Linked DNA regions of Drosophila melanogaster. The protein of the gene in region 2 purifies or fractionates together with the protein of the main gene of each other region. This does not show direct contact. Each region holds a gene or a part of one and is shown on either strand. Other genes may lie near its edges.

Region 1 (4,934 bases), 690 kb from region 2:
CCTAAGTCTTCCCTTTTTGACAATTTGAAACCAGTTCAAGTGGTTTAATCATTTAACGCACATCATAAAAATCGCATCAAGTGATTTTTATTTACACGCCCAGGACAAAAAGGATCCCCAAAACCTAAACGGAATACAATGATTGGGGCGGGGGTGCGAAATGGTTGGGGGTGAGCCATCCCTTTGAAACCCAAGGCGTTGGCTAAGAACAAGAAAAATGAACTCGCTCACTAGATAAGGTTTCGGTTAGTTGATAGACTTTTACGCTGTAATGAAATCTTAGAAATTCCATTTAAGAAGGAAATATATATGTATTACAAATAAGCTTAACCGCAAAAGGTATTAGCTTTTAATCTTAAGGAATATATAAGTCTTTATATAATGAGTACGAACTTCCTAAACATTTTTCCTTACTCCAATTTGTGATTAACTAATTTTATAGAACTATTTAACCTCAGAACAAGAGCACATATCAGTAATTAAATTCAAGTTTTCATGTAGGTTGTGTTAGCGAAGTATTTAATCATATAGTTTTATTTTTTAAATACATGTTAAGCTGGTGAGGCGTAGTGTATATGTGAATTTTATTCAAAATTTAATGCGCAACCGCATAATGGACATAAGATGTGAGACTTTAGATGAATTTGCGTGAAGATTGATCTTGATCAGAGGCAGACGACCGAAGAATGCGGATTACACTGCTTAACTGAAGGTGTTGACCTGTGAATAAATAAAAACATTCATTTAAATTTAAATCATTTCATTCATTTGTATAACACTTACAATATCGTCGATCTTCAAGATCGATCGAATCGTCTCCGTGGCCAGGGTGATCGACGAAATACTGACCAGCAGCGGCTGCACAACGTTCTCCGCGAAAATGTCTGTGATGGCGCCCTTGCGCACATTAATACCGGCGTTCTTCTCACCCTGAGCGTGGCGGTTGCGTAGCTCCGTGACCGTGGCAATGGGATTCAAACCGGCGTTCTCAGCCAGAGTGGAGGGAATCACCTCCAAAGCATCGGCAAATGCACGGAAGCAATACGCATCCACACCCTCCACGGTTTGTGCCAATGCGGCTAGCTGCAGGGCCATCTCAATCTCGGGCGCACCACCGCCGACAATCTGGGCGCGCAGCTTCACCAGGCAACGGACGACACAGAGGGCATCGTGCAGGGAGCGAGCAGCCTCCTCGAGCACCAGCTTGTTGGATCCGCGGCAGATGATCGAGACAGTGCGTCCCATGTTCTGAATGCCGGTGATCTTCACAAACTTGTTGGTACCACTGGCCACCTCCTCGACCAGATCGGCACTGGAAAGGTTCTCGGCTGTGAAGTGATCCAGCGAAGCGATCGGTCGGCAGTGCAGGGTCTTGCACACGAACTCAATATCCTCGCGCTCCACATCCTTAACGACCATGCACTTGATCTTGTCCAGGAAATGCTGAGCCAGATCAGAGACAGCATCGCTAGATAAGTGGAGAACTATCAGCACAAAGTGGACAAATAACAAGTAAGCTAAACCTACCGCAAGATAGACTTCTGAACGAGAAGAACATTGCATCCTGACTTCTTGATCTGCTTGACAATGTTCAGGATGTATGAACGCTCCTCCTTGAGCACACGATCCATGGCAGCGTAATCCGATACAATCACATTGTGATCCATCTGTAATTTCGGCATAAATTATAAAAGACAATAAATTGTTAGGATCATAGCGATGTACTCACATCGGTCTTGGGGGCCGAAATGCAGAACTGGATAAGACCGATCTTGGCCTTCTCAATGCGCTTGGGAGCGTTGGATCCGGCAGAGCGGCAGGTGAAGACCAATCCATCGACCAGCTCGGTGTCCTCAACAGTGCCACCCAGGCTGGAGATGACCTTGATGTTCTTGAGATCCACAGAGGTTTCCTTGCCGGGATCCGTAACCTTCAGCACGGCATCCACGGCAATGGGGGCCAGCAGGCTGCTCTGCTGCGACACCACCTTGGAGTTCAACGAGGTGGAGGCGCTCTTGATCAGCGTCTCGCGGTCGTCCAGCTCGATGGGAGTGGACATCTGTTTAAGAATCTCGACGGCCTTGTTCGAGCAGCGCTGGAACGAGTCCGAAATGGCCGTGGGATGCAGACCCTTCTGCAGCAACTTCTCGCACGCCTCAAGCAGAGCTCCGGCAATGACAACCACGGAGGTGGTGCCGTCACCAGCGGCCACATCCTGGGCACGCGACAGCTCCACCAGCATCTTGGCAGCCGGGTGCAGTACATTCATCTGCTTCAGGATGGTGGCGCCATCGTTGGTGATGGACACCTCGCCGTTGCCGGCCTGGATCATCTTGTCCATGCCGCGGGGGCCCAAACTGGTGCGGATAGCATCGGAAACGGCTGGAAAACAGAATTATTTCAATAGGTTATAAATGTATTTTAATATTTCGTTAAAACTTAATGAGAAACTCAGATAAGTGGAATTCGTGTGGTTAGTTTTACACAGCAGCATGACTAATTTACATACATACATACAAAAAGACATATGGTGTTTTATGTGTTAATTCAAAAAATCTACTGTAACTTATCTTAAGAGATAAACAATAAAATCCTTGTAGCGGATAAAAGGGTATTGGGAATAGAGTATTAAAAATCCTCAATTTTTAGGTTGTTTCAATTCATCACATGAGTAATGCGCGCTCTTCTTCTTCTTCCGCCCAAGAAGTTTCCAGACAGCCGGCATCCAACTGCTTTTTCAATAGGCCATTTGGCCGGAAATTCTGATGCACCACTGCTCGGAATTCAGTCACCTCGGTTCTTAGCTCAATAAATAGCACATACGCCAACATTTTGATACAAAAATGTGTTTAATTTTGTTAATTTCCTCGCTTTTTCTCACCTTTGGCCGCCTGGATGTTGGACAAACGCACATCGGTGGGCTTCGACTTGTCCTTGAAGGCCTTGGCCGTTGGCTTGATGTTGACAGCTGCTGCCTTGGGCGCCATTGTAGGGTTAAGTTATAGTTTTTTAACAAAACACAGTTATTCTACAATAAATTCACAGCGATTTACACAGAACACGTTGCTGCGAAATGTTAAGGAAAGTGTGGCCGCACTCGCTGAGCTCAAATATACCGCCAACTTATCGGCATCGATAACATCATCCCTTGTGAATGGCAAATTGGTGTGACCGTATTTTGCGTTGTGACTCGGCTGCTTTATTTACATTGAATTTTTGTTCGATTTTTGAATTTAAAATAAAAATAATGCCGCACGGACACTCTCACGATCACGGCGGCTGCAGCCACGAGGCCTCGGACGTGGACCACGCCCTAGAAATGGGCATCGAGTACAGCTTGTACACCAAAATCGATCTGGACAATGTGGAGTGCCTGAACGAGGAGACGGATGGCCAGGGAAAAAGTGTCTTTAAGCCGTACGAGAAGCGCCAGGATCTGTCCAAGTACGTGGAGAGCGATGCGGATGAAGAGCTCCTCTTCAACATTCCCTTCACCGGCAACATCAAGCTCAAGGGCATCATCATAAGTGGGGCCAATGATGACTCCCATCCAAACATGGTCAAAATGTAAGGAACAAAAGTCAAGGCTGCTTTAATATTACTATATTCATCATATATCTTATTTTTCAGCTTCAAGAACCGACCCAGGATGACCTTTGATGATGCCAGAGCAAAGCCCGACCAGGAGTTCCAGCTGACCCGCGATGCCCGCGGAGAAATCGAGTACTCACCCAAAGTGGTCACCTTCTCCTCCGTGCACCATCTCTCCCTCTACTTTCCCAGCAATTTTGGCGAAGACATAACACGCATTTACTATATAGGTAAGCTCACAACAATCTATGTTTTATCTGTGTTCCCAACTAAAACCAAGTCACTATTCAAAGGTCTTCGAGGAGAGTTCACAGAAGCTCATTACCATGGCGTAACCATATGCAACTACGAATCCCGTGCCAATGCAGCGGATCACAAGGAAAAGGCTTTCGATGGAGTCGGCAGAGCCATCCAATAGGGTTATAGAGATTAAAATTTACAATTTAATTGAGTATCTCTGTAGTGTATATATTTTGTGATCATTTAAGGCAAGAAATGTTTTTGTATTCGCTTAACTTATTGAGCATTTGTATTGCACAGATATTGTGGGCTAAATCATACTAAGTATATTGTGTGGGTGGAATCACATCGGGTCCTATTTTCATGCCCATATTGGGCACTTTATCCGAATGGATTTCAGCCGTGACCTCGGTGAACAGCTTGTCCCACTGCCAGAGATCGTCCTTCTCGTTGAGGCTCTCCTGTGGAACCAGGCAATCGGTGAGGATTGAGAGATCAAAGCCATCCACAGCTGAAAAGGCGTACTGGGAAAGCAAATCGGAATTGGCCTCCTTCAAAACAGCAGATCGTGAGGTGCCAATACTACAAATTACAACTTATTATCGTAGTGAAGAGAAATATAGCAGCTTCTGCTTACGTTGGCGGTTCTACAATCTCATTGAGCATGATTTCGTCCTTGACATCATCCATGTCTGGGATGACGGGAATGTCATCCGTTGGTATGGAATTTGTAGCCGACTTTGTTTGTTTAAAGCGCTCACTAAAATGAATTTTATCATTATAACAGTCGGTGGAAAGTGAAGTTATTGTGATAAACTTGTACTCACTCATCAAAGGAGTTTTTCTTGGACCTAAAAAGATATAGAGCAATCAGTAATGTGCCTAATTCGAGCCTAATCATACCCACTTTAATCCTTTGAGTCCAGAATCCGCCCAGCCACCTGAAATGCGACGAATGGGTGGTCGATGTGACTCGAATTCATTGTTGTATGTGGACGAGGTGGCCGTGTCCGAGGTGGTCGGTGGGGTGCCCGCCTGGACATTCAGCGTAATGTCGATGGAAATGTCCTTGGAGCCCCCAGCCGCCTGGACATCCTCCTCCT
Region 2 (5,775 bases):
AAATGATTATTAATTTACAAATGATTAAATGAACAATTTTCGATATCAAAGCGTTTTTATTTATAAAAGATATTATATGGAAGGGTATTTAATAGTTATATATATTTCTTAGCCCTTTTTTTTGGTATTTTTTGTGTGGTCGCCGTGCGGTCATACTGACCCAATCAGGTGAAAGCGACTTCGGAATTATCGCGCTACAGGGCGATAAGACTGTGACGACTGATTAGTTAACCAGCGGCGATCGGCAAGGTGAAAGTTCACACATCTCCGCTCCAACATGTCAGCAAAGGCAGTGTCCAAGTCCAGCAAACCAGGCGCTTCCAAGGAGCCGTCGGCGGTCACTAAATTGTACCTGTTTGCGTACAACGCCGGCCAGGTGGTCGGATGGAGCTACATCCTGTGGCAGCTGGTCAACTACTACATATTGCAGGGTCCGGAGTTCCGTGCCCAGGTGACGTTGTGGGAGTATACTCGGCTGGCCGTGATCATCTTCCAGAATGCCGCGTTCGTGGAGATACTCAATGCTTCTTTTGGATTGGTCAAGTCGAACCCGGTGGTCACTGGCTTCCAGGTGTTCAGCCGCATGATGGTGGTCGTCGGCGTGGTGATGGCCACGCCTACTGGAAAGGTTTCACCCGGTCTGCCCATCGCCCTGCTGGCCTGGGCCATCACTGAGATCATCCGATATGGATATTACGCTCTGAACATCGTCAAGGTGGTGCCGCATTTTGTGGTGTTCCTGCGCTACACCACATTCATTGTCCTGTATCCCATCGGCGTGACTGGGGAGCTGCTGTGCTTCTGGTGGGCCCAGAGCTATGCCCGTGAGAACAGCGTGTGGAGTGTGGTGATGCCCAACAAGTGGAACGCCACCTTCTCGTATTTTGGATTCCTGTGGATCGTCATGCTCGGCTACATCCCCATCTTCCCGCAGTTGTACTTGCACATGTTCGCCCAGCGCCGTAAGATCCTGGGCGGTGGATCCAGCGGCTCACCCCAGAAGAAGGCCAACTGAACCTTGACCAGCGGCGAATGCAAATTATTGCATCATTTGCATATCATTGGCCGTCGCACTTTGAGCCGTTTTCGCTTTTTGGGGTCTCTCTTGCCTCACCTCTTACACAAGCACATTCGTTCGGACTAAGCTTAGTTATAAGTGGTTTTGTGTACAAATAAACCTAGATACTCTTCCAACAAATTTATTTTCCCTTCGCTTTCAAAGTGTGGTGTAACAGTAACGGCTTAAATATTAGTACATTAATGCTGCGACCATTGGATGGTCTTTAGGTCGATGCCCTCTTGGACCATCTCCCACAGCGGCGACATCTCGCGCAGTCGCTCCACATGCTTGATGCACTTATCGGCGGTGTAGTCCACCTCCTCGACGGTGGTAAAGCGCCCGATGCCAAAGCGTATGGAGCTGTGGGCAAGATCCTCGTCGGTGCCGATGGCACGCAGAACATAGGAGGGCTCCAGGGAGGCGGAGGTGCAGGCGGACCCACTGCTCAGGGCCACGTCCTTAAGAGCCATCAGTAGTGACTCGCCCTCGACATAGGCAAACGACAAATTCAGGCAACCATTGTATGTGGCTTTGGCATCACCATTCCTGATGACATGCGGCAAGGCACTTGAAATCCTGTCCAGCAGGCGATTGGATAGAAAGTCCACCCATTTCTTGTCGTAGTCCATCTCACGCAAAGAAAGTTCCGCAGCAGCTCCCAATCCCACGGCGAGCGGGGCTGGAACCGTTCCGCTCCTTAGGCCACGCTCCTGGCCGCCGCCACTTTGGATGGGCTCGAGGCGAACCCTCGGCCTTCGTCGGACATACAGGGCGCCTACACCCTTTGGGCCGTAGATTTTGTGGCCGGATATAGACATCAGGTCAATGTTCATGGCGTTAACGTCCAGCGGGACCTTTCCCACCGCCTGAGCGGCATCCGTGTGAAAGAATACTCGGCGAGACCGGCACAGTTTGCCAATCTCATCGACGGGTTGCCGTACGCCGATTTCGTTATTCACCGTCATAATGGACACCAGCGAGGTCTCCGATGTGATGGTTTCCTCCAGTTGCTGGAGGTCGATGAGTCCGTTGGCCAGCACTGGCAGGTACGTGACTTTAAAGCCCTCGTTCTCTAAAGCACGACAAGAGTCCAGCACGCACTTGTGCTCCGTCTGGGTGGTGATCACGTGTCGCTTCTTAGTGCCGTAGAAACGGGCAACACCCTTTACTGCGATATTATTCGACTCGGTGGCGCCGGATGTGAAGATGATCTCCTTGGGATCGGCGCCAATCAGGGTGGCCACCTGCTCGCGGGCCTTTTCTACAGCGGACTCTGTTTCCCAACCGTAGGCGTGGGTACGGGAGTGGGGATTTCCGTAGAAATTGGTCAGATAGGGGAGCATAGCGTCCAATACACGTGGGTCCATTGGAGTGGTGGCCTGGGCATCCAGGTAAAGTGGTCTACCCTCGGTCTGTTCGTTCTTTATGTTGAATCGCACCTGTCTCTCCCGGAATTCTACGAACGAATACGATTTTGGTAAGCGGTAACTGTGCATCTTGGAGGATCCGCTTACCTTTGGATGTGGCGGCTGGTTTAGCCGCTGTCCTGGAGGAGGTGGCCTCGTGTCTAACCACATTGGCTAATGCATTCGTCGCCCGGGAGCGGAGGACCTGCGCCTGGATGCGTCCCAGCACTTTTTGCATTCTGATGGAATCCTAGAAATTCTGGTGTTAAAATTCGTTATCACGGATTTCACAATCAGTGGGACCGTATTCGGCGGCACGAGATATACCAAAGGACTCCGGAATTCACTTTAAAATTATCTGATTCGATTATGCAGAAGCAAGTTTCTGAATTTCTTTGAACATATGAAAAATGAATAGCATCTGTGCAAGAAACCAATATTTTTCAGATATATTCGCACTTAATGTATAATTTACAAGGAACTATATTTTCAAAAACCAGTTTTCATCTTAAATATGTTTGCTTACAAAATTATCTTAATCATTCAGCGAACTTAAGTTACGAATTCACGAAATTGCGCGCATAGGCACGGTATATTTTTCTCAGTGAGCCATAAAATACTCAAAGAATACTCAATACGCAAAGTAAGACAATTATAAACAAAAGTACAAAAGTTGAAGCAGTTTTGAAATAATAAATATAGGAAATAGGCAAAAATTAAAATCAAATTTAAATATGGTTGTCTGCCGGTTCTTTCAACAAGGCTCCTGCCGCTATGGCGCAAAGTGCAACAACGAGCATTTCGATGTTAAGTGAGTACATTGATATTAAAACTATGCAGATGAACTAATAACTTAATTATTTTAGGCAATATCTCAAAGCCGACATGGAATCCAGCCTCAATGGCAAGATGTGGCCTTTGTCCGCCTACGGACCCTTTAAGGACAAAGCGAATTTCCCCAACTTTATTCAGGACCAATCCTTCGAGGAGGTGCGGTTCATGTGTTACGAGGCCAAACGACAAAACCAATTCGAACAGTTCAGCCAACAGTTTAACCGTGAGGTCCTAGAGGCTAACAACAAGATGAAGACCATGCTTCAGATGTCGCCGCAGGTCCTGGAAATGATGATCAAGATCCACGAGACGCCGGAGGGCGGCACTGTGTCGGCTGCCCCTCAGCAGTCCAGTAATCCCTTCGCTGCAGCAGCTCCGGCTGCCGCCAATACATCTGCATCCATTTTTGGAAAGCCCACGCTGAGTGCGGGAAATATATTTGGGAATGCCACAAGCCAAGCCAGCAACACCAATAGCATTTTCGGCGGAACGATTAGCAATGCCAATGCAAGGAATAGCATTTTTGGTGTAGGAGCTGCGGCAACAGGTGCACAAAGTGTCTTTGGACAGCCACAGCAGCAACAGCTGCAGCCTGCTGCACAAGCTTTCCAAGGGGGCAACATTTTCGCCCAGGCGCAGGTTCAGGTGCAAGCTCAGCCAGTGAATCCTAATCCTTTCGGTGGTTTCCAACAGCAGCAGCAGCAACCGCAGTCGACGGGAATCTTTGGCCAAGCCGCAAGCCAAAATATGGGCGGAATGTTTACTCAGGCTTCTCAGCAACTACAACAGCAGCAGCAGGCAGCTGCCTCCGGATTATTTGCTCAAGCAGCAGCATCTGCATTCCCTAATCAACAACAGATGCAGCAGCAGCAACAGATGCAGCAGCAGCAACAGATGCAACAGCAACAAATGCATCAGCAGCAGCAGATGCAATAGCAACAAATGCAGCAGCAACAACAATTTCAAATGCAACAGCAACAGCAAATGATGCAGCAGCAGCAGCAGCAGCAAGCTCAACCGACCAACGAAATCCAGTCCTCAGTTTACAGTCGCATGGAGGATCTCAACGAGCAGGAAATCGAAGCATTCAAGGCGGATCAATTTCTACCAGGTGCCTTGCCATTCAAACCGCCTCCACGGAATCTTTGCTGAACCAAACACTTAATGGTACACTAGCGTATAATGTATATATTTTTACAGAAGCTGATATAATAAAATAATTAGAACTTATAAGCTAATGCATCATCATATTGAGTCGTTCCATGTTTATGGAGTAGACGGCATGCGAGCCTATCAGGTTGCGATCCCGTAAGGCCAGTTGGCAGTCCTTGAGGGTGATTACTGTGCGTTCGGTGGGTTGGCTGAAAGAAACAAAACCTAAGTTTGTGTTTCACATGAAAATCTCATTATTATTCAGGAGCTTACACTTCTTCGCAGGCGGAGAGGAAGGTCACATCGTCGTTCTGTCGCCGCATAAAGTTGGCCGTATTCAGTTCCTTGTCCAGTTCCAGCGGCGTGTCGTCGACCTTCTGCCGGGTGACGGTGTTGCGCAGCGAAGGATCACGCAACGGAGCACCTACATCGTAGTAAAAGTTTCCCTCGCCGCTGGTCTTGTAGTGCTTTCGTTTCTTGATGATTGCCGATAGTAGATCCTTGAGCAGAACTTGCACGGCCATGGCAACGTACTCGGCGACATTGTCGTCCACGGAGACAAGTCCGATTTCCCAGGCACCGATCAGAAATCGTCCCATAATGAATCCCGCGTCGGGCAGGAAAAGTTCCTGCGCGCAGTACCGCTGCGACTGAAGCTGTTGCTGTTGCTGGTCCGACGGAATACCGATCGTGGTTGGCGGACGAATGATTTGCATGTTGTCCTCGGCTACAAAGTCCAGGACGTCGCTGAGCTCAAAATTAAGGCGTTCGGCGAAGGTGCGGCAACTTCTTTTGCGCCGTTTGCTTCGGTTGCCACTACTGCTGCTGGTCTGGACGGCCGGAGGATTCTCCAGGGGAGCAAAGGCGTCGATCTTGTTGAGCAGGGCGAGCAGGAACTGATTGTGCAGGTGCAGTTTGTCAGGTGTTAGGATTTTCCGCGACTCCGCATCGAATTCCTCCTTAGTCCAACGGCTCCGAAACCAATTCTTCATGTTGGCCCGGTAACGCTCCCAGTTGTCGCCCAGAGCCACCACTAGCGCCTCCTTGGTGGCCAGAACTCTGTCGGTAAGCATTTTAGTATTGGGAATAACAACTAAACAGGAAAATCCAACTGTTTGCGAATTGCTATATAAACAAATGAATGCAGCTGATTCGAGTGACCGTTCAAAGAACGGCTGAAAATACCAGATACATTTGAGATAAAAACCGTTATTTTTGAAGAACCCTTTAAAAAAATATTGGTTTTAATCTTTAGTGTTCACAGTTTTTATTGTGTACAAGTTAGTTAGTTAAAATATAAACATTAAAGATAGAGCCCACGCC

The links. The genes of interacting proteins can lie anywhere in the genome.
Region 1: the proteins of Nfs1 (region 2) and CCT4 purify together in Drosophila melanogaster (affinity purification with mass spectrometry, with the first as the bait; one large-scale study listed by BioGRID). This does not show direct contact.

What each region holds. Positions count from the first base shown.
Region 1 is NT_033779.5:12,689,836-12,694,769, forward strand, and holds CCT4 (chaperonin containing TCP1 subunit 4), read right to left. Parts: upstream 3,100-4,934; 5' UTR 2,988-3,099; coding exon 2,882-2,987; intron 2,383-2,881; coding exon 1,730-2,382; intron 1,668-1,729; coding exon 1,528-1,667; intron 1,469-1,527; coding exon 784-1,468; intron 721-783; coding exon 703-720; 3' UTR 501-702; downstream 1-500. Other genes in the region: CG6153 (uncharacterized protein), read left to right, coding at 3,248-3,567, 3,631-3,821, 3,885-4,009; IFT43 (intraflagellar transport 43), read right to left, coding at 4,152-4,413, 4,469-4,591, 4,659-4,682, 4,739-4,934.
Region 2 is NT_033779.5:11,996,654-12,002,428, reverse strand, and holds Nfs1 (Nfs1 cysteine desulfurase), read right to left. Parts: upstream 2,776-5,775; 5' UTR 2,705-2,775; coding exon 2,575-2,704; intron 2,517-2,574; coding exon 1,258-2,516; 3' UTR 1,185-1,257; downstream 1-1,184. Other genes in the region: Hacd1 (3-hydroxyacyl-CoA dehydratase 1), read left to right, coding at 278-1,015; Ada1-1 (transcriptional adaptor 1-1), read right to left, coding at 4,535-4,661, 4,726-5,525. UniProt on the Drosophila melanogaster protein: Catalyzes the removal of elemental sulfur from cysteine to produce alanine. It supplies the inorganic sulfur for iron-sulfur (Fe-S) clusters.